3 linked regions of the Callithrix jacchus genome follow. The protein of the gene in region 3 purifies or fractionates together with the protein of the main gene of each other region. This does not show direct contact. Links are inferred from orthologs where the notes say so. Each region holds a gene or a part of one and is shown on either strand. Other genes may lie near its edges.

Evidence for each region.
Region 1: the proteins of POLD1 (region 3) and POLD3 purify together in Homo sapiens (co-immunoprecipitation; 8 studies listed by BioGRID and IntAct, with this or other methods). This does not show direct contact. The link is inferred for Callithrix jacchus from reciprocal best matches to the Homo sapiens genes POLD1 and POLD3.
Region 2: the proteins of POLD1 (region 3) and MMS19 purify together in Homo sapiens (affinity purification with western blotting; 3 studies listed by BioGRID and IntAct, with this or other methods). This does not show direct contact. The link is inferred for Callithrix jacchus from reciprocal best matches to the Homo sapiens genes POLD1 and MMS19.

Annotation. Positions count from the first base shown.
Region 1 is NC_133511.1:66,321,384-66,325,747, reverse strand, and holds part of POLD3 (DNA polymerase delta subunit 3), read left to right. Parts: intron 1-3,623; coding exon 3,624-3,826; 3' UTR 3,827-4,364. UniProt on the Homo sapiens protein: Accessory component of both the DNA polymerase delta complex and the DNA polymerase zeta complex.
Region 2 is NC_133513.1:90,318,859-90,323,790, forward strand, and holds the start of MMS19 (MMS19 nucleotide excision repair protein homolog), read right to left. Parts: upstream 3,390-4,932; 5' UTR 3,342-3,389; coding exon 3,230-3,341; intron 1-3,229. UniProt on the Homo sapiens protein: Key component of the cytosolic iron-sulfur protein assembly (CIA) complex, a multiprotein complex that mediates the incorporation of iron-sulfur cluster into apoproteins specifically involved in DNA metabolism and genomic integrity.
Region 3 is NC_133523.1:44,035,605-44,040,497, forward strand, and holds the start of POLD1 (DNA polymerase delta catalytic subunit), read left to right. Parts: upstream 1-1,813; 5' UTR 1,814-1,881; coding exon 1,882-1,982; intron 1,983-4,893. UniProt on the Homo sapiens protein: As the catalytic component of the trimeric (Pol-delta3 complex) and tetrameric DNA polymerase delta complexes (Pol-delta4 complex), plays a crucial role in high fidelity genome replication, including in lagging strand synthesis, and repair.

The sequences.
Region 1 (4,364 bases), on a different chromosome or scaffold from region 3:
GCTTTTAAGATTTAGCACTTGAGGTTCCATGGGATGCTCAGATCCTGGTATTGTGCTTTTGTATTTGAAAAGAGTTGTGGGTTTAGGCTCTTACCTTTGTTATTGGATAGTCCATGGTTGTCATTTTGCCTTTTGTGGCACTTGCCACAGGTTGGATCTTCAGAGAAGGTTATTTTCCCCCTTCTCAATTTTTTTTCCTAGTTCAGATTTCTGTTTTTAAAAGATTGGCTCTGAAGAATCAACTTTTCCTGGTTCTTAAAACTAGTGCAGACGTTCTGTCGGCTGTTTTCCCTGTCCCACTATTCCCCACGTCTCTGTCCTCTGAAAAGGCCTCTGCCATTTTAATTGTAGCATGTGATTAGGGAGTAGAATTCTTTACATGTGGGAATTCTGTCTTTTCAATGCCAGATTTCTTGTGAACCTGTGAATTCTGGACTTTGAATGGGTTTTTTTTTTCTTTTCCTTTCTTTTTTCTTTTTTCTTTTTTTTTTTTTTGGCTTTCAGTCTTTTAATAGTTGCCATTTTTCAAAAATGGCAAGCCTCTTGGTTTGGCCATGGGTGGTAATATATGTATTTACTGTTGAATTTCTTAATTCAACAGTACATTTTTTTAATTTAAGAGGACAAAAGCATTGGTGCCAGTTTTTTTTCACTTCTTTCTGCCCTAAAAGAAAAAAAGTCAGATGTCTTTGTGAGAGTTCATTGGGAATTTGTGGGTAATTGTTTACTGCTTTGTTTAGAACATAGTACTCGAGTTTTGGCCAGGTGTGGGATGTGGACTTTTTTGCACTCCTGTCTCCAGACAGGGCTGTTAAGAGCCTTGGATGCAGCAGTGAAAACTGTGCTCACATTGCACTTTTTTTTTTTTTAAGGTTTTTAGTCCAAGCTCAACCTAATGAGTCTTGGCTTTGGTTACCAACAAAGGAGTTCTGCTTTCCTCTCTACTCACACTGTTCTAAATGTACCAGCATAGGAGGCTCGCCCTGTCCTGTGCTGGATCAGATTTGTTCTGTGGGTTTAGAAAGCTCATCTTTCCCTCTGTGAGTTTGCAGCAGAGAGTGGGGAGTTGAGGCCCTGAGATAAGTTTGGAGTAGACTCCTGGACAAAACGGTGGGTTTCTAAGAGCAAAGCAGTTGAATAGAAAAGATATCTGATGTTACCCGTGAAAACCAGGTGTTTGGATTTTTTTTTTCATGGCAACCCAGAAAGTGACATGTTGTTCAGCTAAAATAAAGGACCTATATTTTTAATGGAAACCTCCTTTGTCCTGGGGTTTGAGGTAGCTATAGCTTTGAATATAGAAAAATGTTTCGTTTAGCTATTATAGTATACTGAATATGCTGCTAAAGAAATTTTGTTGGTGCCGCCCTGTTTTTTTTTAACTCCCCCAAGCAGTGTATTACACAAAATTGGCAATGAGACAGCCAGTGGGTTCATTAATAAGTAATGAAATAATGAGCTAATTGATGCTAAAGTGTAATGTTGTAGACATGCTGCTATTTGAATACAGAATATAGCTTATGAAGGAGCAAAGTCTTATATCACCAACTAGTAGAAAGTCATTTCCTTTATCTGTAGATGGCTCTTCAGGCTTTTCTAATTGAAGATAATTTATTGAAGATATTCAATAAATAACAGCTTGTAATTTTGTCCCATTAATTCAGTTACATGCTTTTGAAGATGCATGTGCGGTGGATGTGGTGTTTTGAGATCTAATTGTTGAATGAATAGGTATGCCATGGGAATTCTCTAAGTATCTTAGAACAACATTTTTCAAACTTTGCCGACTATGAGCATTACTTGAAGATCTTGCTAAAATTGAAATTCTGCATCAGTAGGCCAGGAGTGGGAACTGAGAGAGTATTCCTAATAAGCTCATGGGAGATTCTGATGCCTCTGGTGTGTGGAGTACAGTTTGAGTAGTAAGGCCTTTCAAAACACTTACTATATATTTTAAGTTCATCAGTGTTTTTTAGCCTCTAAGTGAGCATCTAAGTGAATTCTGGGCTCTTACAAAATTAAAAACAAATTCCCGGAACTCTCTGGGAAGGAACTGTTGATTAGCAGTCTTAATGGGATTAGCTGGATAACAGTGAAGGAATACTCCAGTGGCAATTGCACTTTAACATTTAAAACAGAGAAGGAAAGAACATTAATTCCTAGAGTGTGGTCCTAGACCAGCAGCATCAGCATTATCTGGGAGCATGTTAGAGAAGCAGATTCTCAGGTCCCACCCCAGACCTGCTGAATCTGAAACTTGGGAAACAGAATCTGGCAATTTGTGTTTCAACAAGCCCTCCAGGTGGTTCTGATGCACACTCAAGTTTGAGATGATATCTAAGTAGCAGAGTAGGTTATTAGGACACAGATAAAATTGATTTCCAAAGCTTATGCTTCTAGAGCAATGTGACTGATATATTTTATTAGAAAGAATTATCAATAAGAGCTTGAGACTATCATTGTTCTTTAATGGAAAAAAAAAACACCTTTTACTTTAATCATTTGAGCATTTATTATGCATATTAGGTTACTCTTTTCAGCTGAGAATGAGATCTTTCCTTCCGTATTTCTCTATCACTTGCTGCAACCAGGAAGGCTGAGAAAGAATTTAGATGGTATTGGTTATACAGCTCCCACAGCTCTCTAAAATTATAGAAAGGTGGCGTGCTGTTTCTTATGGTTGGTGTGTGTGTTGCAGTAGTGTGAAGTAGACCCTCCTCCGTTTTGTGACATCATGGCTAGAAGCCACTATCTGTACCTGTGCCCTTCAGGGCTTCCTCATATTGTCTGCTTATTGGTATAGTTCTTTTGCAGGTTTTCCTTGGGAAGGGTTCAATGAGTTTTAATAGAAGGGGCAAGGCAAATTACGCTTTTGGCTGATAGGGAGTAAGAAAACTGGTAACTTTGTTTCTCATTTTATCACTGTCATTCCTTAAAACTAACAAGTGTGTCATCTGATAGAGTTTACTTGAGATAGTTAACCTTCATGATAAAGACTACTACTAAATCTTGGGTTAATTTGCAGCCATTAAGAAATAGGAACTGAACAGCTGAGTAACTGATCTTCAATTCTCTATACTTGGGATTTGCAGAGAGTGGGTGGCATCAAGATAGAGCTAGACAGGAGGGTCCATGGTGAGCTTGACTGGACAGAAGGGAGTCAGGCAGAGGTTTAAGACCAGCAGTGGGAATGGACAGGCATTGTAGGTCGGAGAGATGAGACTTACGAAGCTAGTCAAAGCATGGAATTAGAAGTAAGTGTTTGAGATGTTGACAATTCTGATAATAGAGTTCAGAAGTTAGCTAGCATAGGGCAGGACCCAAATAAAGGATTTAGGCAGTTAACTGATAAAGGGCCATTAAAGGCTTGGGACATAGCAGTGCGGGAGAAAAGTGAATGTTAGTTAATTCTAAGTATCAAACAGAGGCTGCATGATCTCAGGATTCCACATACTTACCTCAGTCTAGATCTGATCTCCCGGTGGGAGAAAGATTCAGTCCAAAGTAACCATATTTACCTTGATCGGAGTCAGAAATGATTGGGGTTAGCAAGACATTCCATTTTCTTGTTAGAGTAAATTATTCAACCCCACCCATGTTTCATTTTTTTCTTGTCCTACCAGTGACCGAAAAAGTCTACGAGAGTGAATCCTGCACAGATAGTGAAGAGGAACTTAAGATGAAGACATCCTCACTACACAGACCCCCTGCCATGACTGTGAAAAAAGAACCCAAAGAGGAACGAAAGGGCCCCAAGAAAGGGACTGCTGCTCTGGGCAAAGCCAACAGACAGGTGTCCATTACTGGCTTCTTCCAGAGGAAATAAACTGCCATCTCTGGTAGATCAGAGACTTGGAGTGGTCAAGGGAGAAGACCAAGAAGTGTACTCCTCACTTACTATGTAAGTTCATCTAGATCTCCACCTCACCTGTAGCAAAAGACTGTTCTTTCATCCTGTGAGGTTTATACTGTTTCTGGTTTTTAACCAAAGGGAAATCATCTGGAAGCAGGAGGCAAAAAGCTGTAACCTTCTAAGGACATTTAAAAAGCACAATCTTTGACCTGTCCAGGAGAAGGATTTACCATAAAACTATACTGGAACAGGTTTCGAATCCTCACTGAAGCCATTTAGTGGCTAATCCACTGTGCCCCACTCACCCTATGCCCTGGTCCACATATGGCACAGGAACAATTCTTTCTTGTTCCTCCGTATTCTGAGAATTGGTGTGGGTGTTTCTTATCCTTAAATTTTATTGGATGTGTTTACCCCTCCCTGTCTTCCTCCAGTACCACACTTCTGTCCCTTAACCTCCTGAAGCTGTTTTCTGTAAGTCTTTTAAGTCTTGGTTGGACTAAAGGCTGAA
Region 2 (4,932 bases), on a different chromosome or scaffold from region 3:
TTTTTTTTTTTTTTTTTGAGACAGATTCTAACTGTTGCCAGGCTGGAGTGCAGTGGCGTAATCTCAGCTCACTACAACCTCCGCCTCCCAGGTTCAAGCCATTCTCCTGCCTCAGCTTCCCAAGTAGCTGGGACTACAGGCGTGCACCACCACATGCAGGAAATTTTGGTATTTTTACTAGAGACAGGGTTTCACCATGTTGGCCAGGATGGTCTCAATCTTGTGACCCACCCACCTCCACCTCCCAAAGTGCTGGGATTACAGGCCTGAGCCAACGAGCCCCGAGCCCCGGCCACTTGCACCTTCTTTACAGCTGACACTTTCACCAGGAACCCAGGGTACAAAACAAAGGTGGCAGCAGCTGCTTTTGTCATCAAAGGGTGTTCCTTCTCCATTAAAATTCACAGGCTGCTGCTGAGTGACTGAATAGGAAGCTAGCTGGTCCCTTTAGCACTAACAAAACTTGATTTAGGCTGAAGGATTAGAAAGTACATCTTATTTTATGGACACTTCAGCACTCTGTTACCCTTCGACAACCCTAACTAGGGCTGTGATCTAAGATCGACAATATTAACTTAATCCTTGTCAAGTTCATTTTCATTTTATGACTTCATTGCTCGAGGATCTACGAATCCCTCTGCCTGTAATCCAAAATTATGCATAATCCAACTCCACCAAACCTTTTCAACTTTTATCTGTTACTATTCCTCTGTACCAACTTTCTTTTCTTTTTTTTTTTTTTTTTTTGAGATGGAGTCTTGCTCTGTCACCCAGGCTGGAGTGCAATAGTGTGATCTCCGCTCACCGCAGCCTCTGCCTCCCAGGCTCAAGCGATTCTCCAGCCTCAGCCTCCTAAGTAGCTGGGATAACAGACGTGCACCACCACGCCCAGCTAATTTTTGTATTTTCAGTGGAGATAGGGTTAGGCTTTCACCATGTTGGCCAGGCTGGTCTCCAACTCCTGGGCTCAAGTGATCTGCCCACCTTGGCCTCTCAAAGTGTTGGGATTACAGGTGTGAGCCACTGTACCCAGCACCAACTTTCTTTTCTTAGAAGGGCTAAATTACAACAGGGCTAGTGTTACAGAGTCTTAGCTGAGCTCAGCTGAATTCAAACTAAACAGTTTAGATCACTTTTTTCCAGAAAGAAACAAAAATATAAATTTTGCAAAAATGTTTATAAGAACCAGTGTCTCATGCCTGTAATCCAGCACTTTGGGAAGCTGAGATGGGAGGATGGCTTCAGTCCAGGAGTTAGAGACTAGCTTAGGCAACATGGTGAAACCTCATCACTACAAAAAAATAAAATAAAATAAAAATTAGCCGAGTGCAGTGGCACACACCCTGCAGTCCCAGTTACTTCAGGAGGCTGAGGCAGGAGGATTGCTTAAGCACAGGTTGAGGCTGAGGCAGGAGGATTGCTTAAGCAAAGGTTGAGGCTGCAGTGAGCCATGACTGCACCACTGCACTCCAGCATAGCAGACAGAGCAGGACCTTGTCTCAAAAAAAAAGAGAAGTAAGCAGTTCTTATTCAAGATAAGTCCTTATTCAAGATGTCTTTTCAAAATGTTTTGAATAAAAAAAAAATCCAAAATTATTATTTTCATAATTTATAAATGTGAAAGACTTGTCACAAATGACACTGCTATAGTAATGCTCTATATTAGGTTGGTAGGGGGTTGGATGGTACAGGTGTACGATTAGTCAAAATCAGTAAACATACACTTAAAGATTTATATATTTCATTGGATATAAATTTTACAACAAATTCACCGTCAACAAACTCTAGTCAATGACATGCATGCCAATGCAGTTAAAGAAAAATGTACAGGTATCTGCAAATTAAATGGATGGGTAGCTATATGATAAAGGGAGCAATAAAATGATAATGGTAGGATCTAGGTGATGTATTCCTTATGAAATTCTTTATACTTGGCTGGATATTCGAAAATTTTCATAATAAAACATGAGGGAAATGCCATGGATAACACACTGTACTTGTAAATGTGATAACACATTATATTTCATAAAACTGTAAGATGTTAAATTTGGTGGCAGCACCAGGTATTTGCTCCTTCCAAACTTCCCTGCAATCACCTTTTATAGAATGGTTGCCTCTCCCAGCATACTATAAGTTCCTGGTGGGCACAGATCTAACTTAATTTGTATTTATATACCTATTGCTTTGCATCATGTTTGGGGAATAATATGTGTTCAACAACAGTGGTATAATTGAATGAAAATGGAATACTACTAACGAACAAAGTATTATATTTCTAGCAGATTCACTATTCTTTTCTTACACACTCTAAAGGTTAATACGCTCAATTTGCAAGAGAAATGTGTCCTTACTTCTCTCCAAGCATGCAAAATTTCCAAAAACAAATTTTTTAAAACTACTCATGAGATAATTTTATATTCTGTTACTTAAACCCAAGATTTGAAGGCCTCCTAACATGCAATAACTTTTTAGTAGATTTTTTTTCCTAGAAAAGCGAAGTCTCAGAACTCCACGGAAGCCTGGAAGTTGTTTTATTCTAATTACAGAACAAAAAGATCTCTGAACTGGTCAAAAGCAGGAAACTGAGGGTCTGGGAAGAAGATAAAAACAAAAGCCACATAAAAAGTCATGGAGCAAATTAATCAAGAACTTTAGCAAGAAACGCAAAGTCTTAAGGAGGACACGCAGAACATTGCCAGCTCCCCATGGCCCGGCTCCTCGGCTCCTCGCCTCCTCTTCATTCCAGCCAGTTAGAGCGCGGGGCAGTCCGCCACTCCCAGGATGCCACGCGACGGGAGCGGCCGCTGCGAGGATGCGCTTCCTCACACCAACCTCCCAAAAACAGCGTGGCTTTATGGCGTGAGCACCTGGTTCCGATCTGAACACATGGATCCGAGTCCCAGCTCCCCCTCCTGCCTGGTCTGCAGCCCTGCGCAAGTCCTCTTGCCCTCGCTGGGCCTGTTTCCTCATCTGTAATGATTCCCTATCATTGTAGCCATTCCCTATCATTGGCTACGGGGAGATGAGGAGTCTAAATGGTTTTAAGGTAGACATAGGGAACTCTCCAGCTTGTTACGGTTCTGAAGTTCGCGGTGCTCACCAACCAGCCAGCCTTGAGACCAATCTCTCGAAGTCACCCGTACCCCTCCCTTCCCGCCCGGCTCCAGTGCTGAGGCCGCTTCCTCCTGCTGGCCCCCATGCGGAAGGCGCGCGGCGCCGTCTGCCGTACCTGCAGCCACCTGGTCAGCGGGGCCCTCTTGCTGACCCATGACGAAGTCGTGCACGAGGCCCCATAGGGCGTCTGTAGGCGCCGCCGCCTCCAAAGCCGCGGCGGCGGCCATGACGCGAAGTGGAGACCGTGGGAGGGGATACGGGCTGTGGCACCAGACGAGCCTCTCCGCGCATGCGCCCCTTGAGCCAATAGCCGGGAGAAGGCTAAGGGGGCGGGGCGCCCCGGGTCACGTGTCTGCCGGCTTCTGTCCAGGCACTTCCACGGAGGGGCGGGGCGCGGAATGGGGCGGTGGCACCGAGAGGGAAGGCGGCTGCTGGGCACGCAGTAGGGGACCATTGAGGGCTAATAATTGCCGGCCCTATTCCCCTGGAGACGGGCGGCGGGGCGGGCACCTGGCTGGGTGGGGAGAGGGGCGGTACGCACCACAGGGGAAGCCAATGAGAAAATCAGGCCCAGCCCGAGGGGGCGGTGCTGTCGGTCACATGCGCACCTGGGGCGGGTGGTGGCGGCGGCTGGGGCACCGCGAGCCGGCGGAAGGGAGCGGGGCCGGGCTGGGGCGGGGTTAGGCAGGTGAGTGACAGGCTCTGGGGGGCCGGCCCCTGCCTGGAACCCCGAGCAAGCAGGGAGTAGCTACGGCGGTGCCCGCCCCCTCTCTCCGCCCCTCCAGCGGAGCTGGTCTCCAGCCGGGCACCGTCGCGGGCCCCCCTGGCCCGGCCACCTGGGACCGTGCTGCGGAGTCTGCCACCTCCCTCTCTCCGCTGGCCAGCAAAGTTTTGGCAGAGCCAGCGTCGGGGCTGAGCGCGTCCCCGGGGGGAGGTCGGGGAGCGCCTGATGCCGGGCGGCCGGAGCCGTTGATCTGGGACGCCGCCGTCCGGGGCAGGAGCGCTGAGCAGCCGACCACCCCGCCTCCTGTGCATGGGGACTGGCTGAGGAACCAGCATGGGCAACTGCGTGGGGCGACAGCGCCGGGAGAGGCCGGCCGCCCCGGGACACCCCCGCAAGCGAGCAGGTAACGACGGGGAAAGGAGCAGGGCCTTGGGCATCCCGCCAGTTGTCCCCGTCCTCGCCCGAGCCCTGGGCTTACCGATCGACTCCCCACGGCTGCTGGCGCCTGGGTTTCCCCGATGGGCTGCTCAGCAGCCAGACGGGGCTGCTCGCCAGCGCCGGGCGGCGGGGGGAGCTGAGTTGGGGCAACTGCGAGCACGGAGCCGGCTGCACGACCAACTCTCTCCAACTGGGAAGCTCCTGGTGGGGGTGGGGGCAGGAAATGTTTGCAGACCGCAGCGGGGCCGACGAAGGGAGGAGGGCCCGGGGCGAGGGCGCTGCTGGCCTGGCAGCTCCGGCCGGGGTCGGACGCCGGCCCGTCGGGGCACGGCGCGGGCAGCCAGGCGTCCCCATAACTCGGAGCGAGCGGGGCGAGAACAGTCGCTCCTTCCAAAGACTGTGTCATTATCCGGCTGCAGATCGTGTCTGCCGGAATCCGACTTGGAAAAGCAGCGCAGGACTCTGGGAAAGAAATCTTTATTTTTCCCTGAGGGGTTTTTAGAGCCTCTCGGCCGTCTGGGAGTCCAGAAAAGGTGGGGTGCGGGGTGAGAGTCGCCTTCGGGATTGTTGGGATCCTTCCTAGCTTTGGGAGTGGGATCGCTCGCTGGTGATCCTGAAGGCCCTGGCAGCGCCTTCTCACTCTCATGGTACACCCC
Region 3 (4,893 bases):
AGGGTCCTAGGTGAGAGTCAGGCCTTGCTCTGCCATCTAGAGGCCCCTGGCCAGTAAGGGAGGCAGACATACACCCAGATAGTCCAAGGGCAACAGTCGCAGGGGCCTGGGGGAAGGACAAGGCCAAAAGTGTGGAGGTGAGCCTGGGCAACATAGCAAGACCCCATCTCTACAAAAAATACACAAACTGGCCAGGTGCAGTGGCTAACGCCTGTCATTCCAGCACTTCAGGAGGCCGAGGCGGGTGGATCACGAGGTCAGGAGATTGAGACCATCCTGGCCAACGTGGTGAAACCCCGTCTCTACTGAAAATATGAAAATTAGCCAGGTGCGGTGGTGCGCGCCTGTAGTCCCAGCCATTCAGGAGACTGAGGCAGGAGAATCACTTGAACTCGGGACTTGGAGGTTGCAGTGAGCCGAGATCACGCCATGCACTCCAGCCTGGGTGACAGAATGAGATTCCATCTCAAAAAAACAAAAAATAGAGTGGAGGCCAGGTGTGGTTTCTCACTCCTGTAATCACAGCACTTTGGGAGGCTGAGGTGGGAGGAACATTTGAGCCCAGGAGTTTTGAGACCAACCTAGCCAACATCGTGAAATCCTGTCTCTACAAAAATTAAAACATTAGCAAGGCATGACGGCTTGCTAATGGTTCCAATTACTTGGGAGGCTGCATTGATTACTTGCATTGTCCAATTACTTGGGAGGCTGAAGTGGAAGGATCATTTGAGCCCGGGAGATGGAAGCTGCAGTGAGCTGTGTTCATGCTGCTGCACTCCAGCCTGCACAACAGAGCAAGACCCTATCTCAAAAAAACATACAGGTCGGGTGCGGTGGCTCATGCCTGTAATCCCAGCACTTTGGGAGGCTGAGGCAGGTGGATCACCTGAGGTCAGGAGTTCAAGACTAGCCTGACCAATATGGAGAAGCCCCGATTTTACTAAAAATACAAAATTAGCCAGGGATGGTGGTGTGCACCTGTAATCCCAGCTACTCTGGAGGCTGAGGCCTGAGAGTTACTTGAACCTGGGAGGTCGAGGTTGCAGTGAGCCAACATCAGGCCATTGCACTCCAGCCTGAGCAACAAGAGGAAAACTCCATCTCAAAAAATATATATATGAATAAAAACAAAGCTGTGAGATTGGGCGAGATTGGAAGAGGTCATCGAGGGAATGAGCGAGTGTCTTGCTCATCAAGAAAACCAGCATCTGGCCTGCAGTGAGCATGTAGTGTCGTTTTATTGCTGACTCTCTGTTAAGTGCTTGCTCGTGAGAGAGGGCAGAGGCCAGTGTTTGCCAAGCTCTCATCCTGTGCCAGGGCACATGAGAGGGGGTACACGGGGGCCTTTCCTTCCTAATACTGCTCTCCTTCCAGTCTGTACCAACAAGAGCCTGGGTTTTGCGCCTGCTGACACCGTCCCTCCTACCACACCCCTGTAGCCACAGCCAACTGACCTCGGGCAGCCAGTCAGCCCCTTCCTTCCTCCGGGTCCGGCAGTGACTCTGGGCTCCCACAAGCCCCTGCACTTCCTCTGTCCCAGCCGGGTCTCTCCCTGCAGGTCATCACTCCCTGTCCGTCTCTGGCTGCTTACACAGCCGGAGCAAGGGCCACTAACTGAGCTTGCTTCTTCCTGTGAGATAAGTCACTCATGTACACAGTTGTCACCCGAAGAACGCAAACGCGGAGTCAGTTCAAGTCTTCCTCATACGAAACCCCCCGCACACATTCACGGGTGCTCCACTCACGAACAGTGGAAACAAGCCACCCTGATGTCCATCTGCCGATGAGCGGATACGTAAAACGTGTTCTGGCCATACGGTGGAAAAGTACTCAGCAAAAAAGGAACGCAGCTCTGCTTCCAGGCCACCACGCGCATGAACGATGAACGCATTCAGAGAAAGCAGCCAGACACCAAAGGCTGCAGATTCCAAGATCCCATTTATAGGAAATGCCCAGAATAGGCCAATCCATGGAGACAGAAAGTAAGATGGGTGGTTGCCAGGGGTGGGGGCAGATGGGCTGAATCGGGGGAGCTAACGGAGGTAGGGTTTTCGGGGTGATGAAAGAGTCCTAAAATTGATTGTGGTGACGACTGCCTAACTGAACATACTAAATACCATTGAACTATATATACTTACTTTAAAGGGGTGAATTGTATAGTATGCGAATCACAGCTCAGAAAAGCAGTTACCAAATGGAGGCTTCTTCCACCCCGTCCCCTGGAAACCAGTTTCTTAGCTCTCCTTGCAGAACAATGCATTCAAAGCAAACTGATTTATACCTAGTCTCTGCGTTAAAAGCAAAATGATTTATACGTACTCTTCTGCCCACCTTGTCAAATTGTTACTATTTCCATTTTATATATTTCCCTCTTAATATTTTGAAAAGTTTGAAACCTGCAGAGAAGGTACAGATTAAGCACAGTGAACAGGCTGTCGGCGCGACACCTCCTTTGCTTTATCCAAGCACACACATAGACTTGTGCTTTTGTCCTTTTTTGAGATGGAGTCTCGCTGTCTCGCCCAGGCTGCAGTGCAGTGGCACAATCTCGGCTCACTGCAACCTCTGCCTCCTGGGTTCAAGCAATTCTCCTGCCTCAGCCTCCCGAGTAGTTGTGATTACAGGTGTGTGCCACCGCACCCGGCTAATCTTTGTGTTTTTAGTAGAGACGGGGTTTCACCATGTTGGCCAGGATGGTCTGGATCTCCTGACCTTGTGATCCACCTGCTTTGACTTCCCAAAGTGCTGGGATTACAGGCGTGAGCCACCGCACCCAGCCCCTTCTGTCCTTTTCTTGGCTGAACTACTGAAAGCTGTGGTCATCGTGATACGTCACCTCTGAAAGATCTAGCAGTTGACACCTTTTTTGGTACAAGAACTCACTCTGTCATGCAGGCTGTAATGCAGTGGTGTGGTCACAGCTCACTGCAGCCTTGACCTCCCCAGGCTCAGCTGATCCTCAGCCTCCCAAGTATCTGGGACTAAAGGTGAATGCCACTGCACCCTGCTAATTTCTGTATTCTTTTATAGAGACAGGGTTTCACCGTGTTGCCTAGGCTAATCTGAAACTCCTGGGCTCGAGCAATCCCCTCCTCGGCCTCCAAATGTCCTGGGATTACAGCCGAGAGCCACCGTGCCTGGCCTCCAGCAGTCAGCTCTTAAGAACAAGATGTCCAACCGCACAACTACAGTGTCGTCATCGTCACGCAGTTTAACGTGACACGGTGACGTCATCCAATAGACAGTCTTTATTTAGATCTGCCCCGTGTTCCTGTAATAGTCTTCAAAGCTATTAATAATTTCTTTTTTTTTGAGACTGTGTCTCACTCTGTTGTCCAGGCCGGAGTGCAGCGGCACGATTTCCGCTTGCTGCAACCTCTGCCTCCCGGGTTCAAGCAATTCTGCCTCAGCCTCCTGAGTAGCTGGGACTATAGGCACACACAACCAAGCCCGGCTACTTTTTTTTTTGTATTTTTAGTAGAGACGGGGTTTCGTGTTGGCCAGGCTAGTCTCGAACTCCTGACCTCAGGTGATCCGCCTGCCTCAGCCTCCCAAAGTGCTGAGATTACAAGCATGAGCCACCGCACCCAGCCCATAATTTCTTTTTTTTTTTTAATCCAAGTTCTAACCTAGGATCACACACATTTAGCTGTCACAGCAACTTTTTCTTTCCTCTTTTTGAGACAGGGTCTTGCTCTATCATTCACCAGTACAGTGGTGCAATCACGGCTCACTGCAGCCTTCACCTCCCAGGCTCAAGTGATCCTCCCACCTCAGCGTCCGAGTAGCTGGAACTATACATATGCACCACCATGCTTAACTAATTTTTAAATTTTTTGTAGAAATTGGGTCTTACCATGTTGCTTGGGCTAGTTTCTAACTCCTGGCCTCGAGTGACCATCCCACCTCAGCCTCCCAAAGTGCTGGGATTACAGATGTGAGCCCCTAGCCCAGGCGACTTTCTTCTTCATGACAGTGACAGTCTTAAAGGTTTCAGCGCAGTATTGTCACCCTGCACTTTGGATTGGTTTGTTTCTTTGTTTTTGTTGCTTGTTTTTTTTTTTTGACTGTTGTTGTTTGGTTTTTTTTTGTGACAGAGTCTTGCTCTGTCACCCAGGCTGGAGTGCAGTAGCATGATCTTGGCTCACTGCAACCTCCACCTCCCAGGTTCAGGCGATTCTCCTGCCTCAGCCTCCCGAGTAGCTGGGCTTACAGCTGCCCACCACCATGCACAGCTAATTTTTGTATTTTACTGGAGACGGGGTTTCACCATGTTGGTCAGGCTGGTCTCAAACTCCAGACCTCAAGTGCTCTGCCTGCCTCAGCCTCCCAAAGTGCTGGGATTACAGGTATGAGCCACTGTGCCCCAGTGATTCGTTTCCTAATGACTAGAATCAGGGTAAACATTTTCTTAGACCTTTTTTTCAACCCAAAAGATAAAACTCTGAGTGCACCTTTGTGCACCTTGCTTTAGCTACTGAACAGTGCCTCTTTGAGAACCTTCCCTATCAGTACACAAGGAGCTTCCTCATTTCTTTACACAGCTGCATAGTATTCCATGGAACGGACTTAACATAACTTATTTAAACAGCCCCCTAGGGAAGGACAGTTAGGTGGTTTCCAGTCTTTGGGGATTTCAAACAGTGCTGCCGGAAATAACCTTATAAATGCAGTTTTTCTTATGTGATAATGTATCTGCAGCATACGAGCCTAGATGTGGACTTGCAGCCTCCAAACTTTTATGTTTGTAATTGAGGTGTCATTTACATGGCATGCCATGCCCAAGTCTTCAGTGTGCAGTTGGCTGTATAGTGTGTTTTATCAGCCCAGAAACGCCCTCACACCCTTCCCAGTCTCTCCCACCCTAGGAGCAGCCGCTAGTCTGATTTCTAG